Bombyx mori: one gene and its partner. The protein of the gene in region 2 interacts with the protein of the main gene of each other region in a pairwise test. Links are inferred from orthologs where the notes say so. Each region holds a gene or a part of one and is shown on either strand. Other genes may lie near its edges.

Region 1 (3,101 bases), on a different chromosome or scaffold from region 2:
TATCAAGATTTATAAAGTATCTAAGAATCTATTGATATTTATTATGCTTGTTTTTTGAGATCCAATAGTCCTTATATTAAGCAATTACTTTTTTTTTATTGCTTAGATGGGTAGACAAGCTCACGGCCCGGCTGACCTTAAGTGGTTATCAGAGCCCATAGGCTCAAGGTAAAAGCCGCCATCCACCTTGAGATATGATTTCTAAGGTCTCAGTAGTTACAAACAGCTGCCCCACACTGATTTTAATTAATACATAATGTTATTCCTTCACTATGAAAGTCAATTGTGAACATCTTTTGAAAATTTGAAAAATTGGTACCGGCATGCAGGATTTGAATTCCAGTGCATCACTCAATACAAATGCACGAGTCGACTTATCTTTTAGGCCATGACAACTTCAGAATACTTTTAATAGTTACAATAGTTATTACAATCCTGTTTAAGGCTTATAACCAAAGTGAACAATAAAGTGCTTAATACACTCATGGCACTAGTGACCTTGACATGTCCAGGACCCCAAATGTTCATAATAAATAATAGAATATGCAATATATTATTACTCCTTTATTTAAAAAAAAATAATACATTAAACAATAACATAACATGTTATAACATATTAAAACAATGTAAACAAAGCAAATCTAGATTTGTATTATGTTCTTTGAACGTGTATATGAAATTTACATGAAGGCATAGACTGAACTTCTGCTGTGACAATACTGTTAATACAGAGATTAGCCAATCCACCTCGAATGAGCCCACAAGTGTAAGCAACATACTGAAATGGTAAAAACACTGATTTAGAAACAATACTTTGATAGTAAATTTTATTAATTCCAAAGGTCAATGAAAAGAAATATAAGAAATAATAGTTTTTACTCACTCTAGGAGCATATTCCAGGTACTGATGACCATTAGAAAAATTTGTTAGAAAACGGAATGCATTATCTTGAAGTACATAAACTCCTTGGTGGTTTGTACGAAGATTATCTATCTGTTTTTTGTAAATACAAGTCCAAAAATCTGTACATATGAATTTCATAGTATCTAATTCATCTTTAAAACGCGGCCATTCCCTCGTTAATCTTTCCATGATTTTATAGCCTGCCGCAAACCCGATGTATTCGACAACAGACAAATCAGTTTCCTGAAATCGATGTATTAAAATGTATTTATTGTAATAATATTGCCTAATCTCAAACGATTATTTAGTATTTAACATTACATACATATTGATTAAACAAACCTTTTCGCCATTATCGTTATTCTTGAATTTTTCAATAGAATAATTTATAATTTCAGAATGTAATAATTCAAATATGATGTCGTCGGCCATTCTTGAGGGGTCCAGATATTTTTAATTAAGGTTTATTACTCATTGCATATTTATTTATAATAATAACGCTTCGTAGGTAATATAATCTGTCTTTACAAATGAAAACACACACGGAAAGAAAAAAGGGGCTAAAGGAACTTTTGTATTGTAAATTGAGTAAATTCTTTTTTAATTTTAGTTTCTTTTTTTTAGGGATTTTATGACCTGGTAACTAAGCCCTTTAAGTCATGTCTTATTTTAATTTTTATTCTTAATTTTATGAAAAATGATAATATGGAGTGAAATTAAATGAAGATGATTAATTTGAGACATTAATCAAGTAGGATGAAATTAAATGAAACGAGATGCGATGATATGAGATGAAATATAATCTCAGTAAAATGGTAGCCATTTCCTAAAACTTTTTCATTGGACTTTTTAGAGGATCCCGAGAAGTTACGTTCAGCGGCTTTTTTTTATTTTCCCACATTTGTGCTTTTAAAGATTTTTTTTAAGGGACTTTATGACCTGGTAACTAAGACTTTTAAGTCATATCTTATTTTAATTTAAATTCTTATTTTTATGAAAACTGATAATATGGAATGAAATGAAATGAAGATGATTAATTTGAGATCAAATGGGACGAAATTAAATGAAATGAGATGAGATGAGATGAGATGAGATGATATGGGATGAAATATAATCTCAGTAAAATGATGGTCATTTACTGAGATTTTTTCAGTGGACTTTTGGAGGATCCCGAGAAGTTACGTCCAACGGCTTTGTTTCATTTTCCCACATTTGCGCACTTTCTCAGATATTAAACAGTTAATAAACCAACGTTATCACACATTTAAACCTGAAGAAACACTAAATAGACAAAATAAAACAATTCACACAACTTCACTCCTCGCGTTCCCGCCAAAAAGTCCAAACTTAACCACATTTTTTTATAATGGGTTTTTATGACCTGGTAACTAAGATCTTTTAGTCATGTCTTATTTTAATTTATATTCTTTTATGAAAAATGATATGGAGTGAAATTAAATGAAGATGATTAATTTGAGACATTTATCAATTGGGATGAAATTAAATGAAATGAGATGCGATGATATGGGATGAAACATAATCTCAGTAAAATGGTGGTCATTTACTTCTGAGATTTTTTCAGTGAACTTTTTGGAGGATCCCGAGAAGTTACGTCCAGTGGCTTTATTTCATTTTCCTACATTTGTGCACTTTCACAGATACCGTAAAATAGGGCGATTAGGGATTGAGAGGCGAATCGGGAAAAAACCGGGAAAATTTTCGACGCTCAATATTAGTTTTATATTCAATACAAAATCTTCCATTTTTTGTAGTTTAATAGTAGAATGTTGAAAGTTTACAAAACAACTCTGAATATGCATGATAATAGCTGCTAAGTTAAAAAAAATCGCGTTTCAAATTAACTTCCTGTGGTGGTAATTATTTTAGTGCTAGAAACTTTGCTCTCTATTATTCATTTCATAATAATAGAAGACGACTGTGATTTATAAACGTTATTTAGTGTTTGAACCATCATATATGTCAAAGGTAACTCTCAGTTGTTATTGGTATTAATGTATTTGATAAAATAAAAATACATGTAAAAATCTGTTGTTTTTGGGGATATTGGGGACGTCCTAGGTACAAATAACAATGAAAAAGGGGTCAATTGGGATGAGAATAAGTGAAATGGAAACTACCTTAGTATAAATAGGTACAGGTTTGTAGGGTTGTCTATATGGTTATAACAATATTTTTT
Region 2 (3,840 bases):
TTAAAACTCTCCATACGCTTGGTATTAGTAAAATGTTTGTGTACCGGGCTATTAATAGGTGCAATGAGACTTCCTCTGTTTGTGACAGAAAAAGATCTGGCCGTCCACGTAGTGCTCGTACGAAAAAGGTGGTCAAAGCAGTAAGGGAAAGAATTCGAAGAAATCCTGTCCGAAAGCAAAAGATTTTATCTCGGGAGATGAAGATAGCAAGCACCTAGAACGATGTTGCGTATTTGAAAAGATGACTTAGGACTTGCAGCCTATAAGACACGTACTGGTCATTTCTTAACTGATAATTTAAAAGAGAATAGGGTGGTAAAATCGAAACAACTACTGAAGCGGTACGCAAAGGGAGGTCATAGAAAATTTTTGTTTACAGATGAGAAAATTTTTACAATTCAGCAACATTTTAACAAATTTGTAGTCCCTAAAACAATTCATACGACTGGCAGTGAAAAATTTTCCCATGGAAAGAGTGCGTGCTTCTATTGATAACTAGCCTCAACATTTAAAGGACTGTATTGCAGCCAATGGAGACCACTTTGAATAAGCTTTTTATATTTAAAATTGTTTTATATTTATGTATTAAACTAACACACTGTAAAAGTAATAAATGTTATTTGCAATAGAATTTTTTTTTTTCCTTTGTCTCAGTATTTATGGCGAGACTAGGTATATGAAAATTGTATCGACGACAAAGCAATTATGGGTCTCGTAATGTATTCATAGCTCCGGTGACAATGTAACAGTACATCGTTTTATGACACTGGAATACAATTAGCAAGGGTCATGTTAGCTAAATGAGTGTGAGAGTACACTAAAAATGTAGGTCGCACGCAACCACGATGGTCATAGGTAAATTAATCTCAAGGGAAGGGTGTTAAATTAAGTTGTTTCATGGTAAGAGTTACACAATCTTATTAAATTGAGAACTTTTTTGAAACCCCTGGGCAATTTTAATTGAGAAATGGTATGGTCCTTTTAATAAGCGAAGTGCTTAATATAAGATTATTGGCATACTTCAAACTCTCGATAGCTTTAAATAGGTACCTGAGAAAATTGGAAAACGAAATAACAACTTTAGAAGAATTCATTTTGGGTATAAAATATTTGTGTAGCTTGTGGTAGGAATAGGGCGTACGCGGACGAGTATGTACCGCTGTATTTGATAATTTTTGTCACGAATCAATTAGTTTGGGTTTGAAGTCCCAATGTTGTTCCAATGATGTTATTGAAATTTCCATATTACTTATATGTAAATTTGGGCAGTGGCAGTCCCGTCACGACGTCTATGAGTTCGGGTAATTATCACTAATAAGTCTTAAGCTAGTTTCTTCATGCCCTAGGGAAGTAAGGAAATAAACACATATCATTTTCCTGCCCTTCTCTCAGTCACCTGGGGTCGGCGCAACATGTTTTCTCCTTCCATACTCCTCTGTCATATACCATATCTTCGCTCACTCCCCTCTTACATATATCGTTTTTCACGCAATCCATCCATTTCTTCTTAGGTCTACCTCTTCCTCTATATCCTTCCATATTCATAGTTATCACTCCTTTCTATTTGTCTCATCACAGGTCCTTACCATCCGAAGGAAATAGACACAATATAATTAAAAAAATATATACCTAAATACTTGGCTGCACTAATTTCCCTTGCACGTAGCACTGTATGGTAGAATTCATGAAAAATTATCAAAACTAAATTTACCTTCAAGTTGAATGTTGTGGATGTAATTTCTGATCGTATTAGTTATTATAAATAGTATGCGATTATGCCTTCGACGTAAAATCATTATTTGTTTCAGAAATATCAAAATAAATCAGGTAATGTTCGACTTAAAAACATAAAAGTTGTAATGGCTTCAGACATGGCTGTCAGTACTAGTACATCACCTAAGAGTTCTCTGGCGAAGCTGGTGCTATATCCTAAACCAAAAGCGTTTAAGATTGCGATATTGGGTCAATCTGGTGTCGGAAAATCAGGTAAGCCACTAAATCATTTAATTACAAAGAATTTATTCTTTAATTACTTGTGTGTACTTATGTACCCATAGTTTGTAGCTATTTGTTACCCATAGTTTGTAGCTGTTTTATAGCCTAATAAAATGTAGAACGTAATCCTCCATCTTCAAACTTGACTGTGGGTAGATCTTGGTGGGGGTTTCTTTAGAGATTTTCTATTGTGCTTTTGTGAAGGAACACCATCGTCTTTGTAATAAATAAATAAACCATAAGCTATAAATAATAAATACAAGAAACGTATAAGCTGCTTCTGAAGTTTTTGCTGTTGATTTTATTATGATATTTGTTTTGTTGATTATAATTGAGGTGTGTTGTTAGTCACCTGTTTTTACAACGAAACCAGTCAAGCTGATAGTTCTGCGTCTTAGGCTGCGACAGTACTTATGGAATATTACGAGATTTTGACCAAAAATCACAAAGAGGGTGACTTAATTCATCGTAATCGGTGCTTTCTATTGATTAAGATGATCAGCGAGCTTATTATTTATCCTTCATCATTCATAATCATTCCTTCTGTGTTCTATACATGCAAAAATTCATATTGGTTTGCCGTAACGCATAAGTCATCAGCATATAACAACACTGCTGCTTTCCTAATAATTCTGGTTTTGTCGAATTTCAAATTTAATTGAAACTGGCAACTATTTCGCTACGTTTTCGTTTTGTTTTCATTGTATAATTATTACAGCATTAATTGACTACATTGTAAAATGGTAACAAAATGATTTAAAGTAAATTGTAACGTAACCTAATTTTAAAACGGTTACCCTAAATCCAGTTTCTTGATGTCGCTTTTTACACGGTTTTCATTCTAGAAAGTTCTGATAGTTTCTTAAGTTTTCACGAGTTGCAGACTTCATCAAGTGATTACACGATGATCTTATTCCACTACTATATTCACCGTAAATGTGCAATTTAATTGTACTGACTACTGCCGCAATTTAAAATCAAAGTTCAAAATAAAGAAATAATATCGTAAGTTTAAGAGATAGTTTCAAAATTGATCACATTTCGATTGAAATAACGAAATTTTCACACGACATGTACGAATTGTCGGATAAATAATTTTTTTATCTGTTTTTAGCTTTGGTTGTAAGATTTATAACACGCCGATTCATCGGGGAATACGACTCGAATTTGGAAAAGATTTACGCTTTCCAAACCGTCATTGATAACGAGATGGTATATTTCGAAATATTGGACTCTGCCGGAGACTCGGGTGTGAGTTCATTAAGCGTTGTTTTTGTCTTTTTGTCATACGTGGTGGTCATTTACATATATTTTTACTGGTGGTAGGACCTCTTGTGAGTCCGCGCGGGTAGGTACCACCGACCTGCCTATTTCTGCCGTGAAGCAGTAATGCGTTTCGGTTTGAAGGGTAGGACAGCCGTTGTAACTATACTGAGATCTTAGAACTTATATCTCAAGATGGGTGGCGCATTTACGTTGTAGATGTCTATGGGCTCCAGTAACCGCTTAACACCAGGTGGGCTGAGAGCTAGTCCACACATATAAGCATTAAAAAAAAACGTATATGTGAGTAGCCCATAGTTCATATATTTTTATTGCATTGTTAGCAGGACGGGGAATATGCGAATTTGGAGAGCAATATCAGATGGGCCGAAGCGTTTATTTTGATGTATTCAGTTACGGACAAATGTTCGTTCGACGAGTGTCACCGACTCAAATTCCTTATTAACTACAACAAAAGACGACGACGTCTAGCTTCGTCTATTAAGGTCTGTTCGTAAACAACAATCTATTTTTAGTCCACAAAAGATAACCGAAAATAGACATTGTGTGAAATCGAACATG

What was found.
Region 1: the proteins of ras-related and estrogen-regulated growth inhibitor (region 2) and trafficking protein particle complex 6b interact in a two-hybrid assay, tested with the Drosophila melanogaster proteins (2 studies listed by BioGRID). The link is inferred for Bombyx mori from reciprocal best matches to the Drosophila melanogaster genes CG5160 and Trs33.

Annotation. Positions count from the first base shown.
Region 1 is NC_085131.1:8,415,721-8,418,821, forward strand, and holds trafficking protein particle complex 6b, read right to left. Parts: upstream 1,433-3,101; 5' UTR 1,337-1,432; coding exon 1,247-1,336; intron 1,148-1,246; coding exon 884-1,147; intron 779-883; coding exon 653-778; 3' UTR 547-652; downstream 1-546.
Region 2 is NC_085119.1:9,102,985-9,106,824, forward strand, and holds part of ras-related and estrogen-regulated growth inhibitor, read left to right. Parts: intron 1-1,808; 5' UTR 1,809-1,859; coding exon 1,860-1,986; intron 1,987-3,109; coding exon 3,110-3,246; intron 3,247-3,605; coding exon 3,606-3,764; intron 3,765-3,840.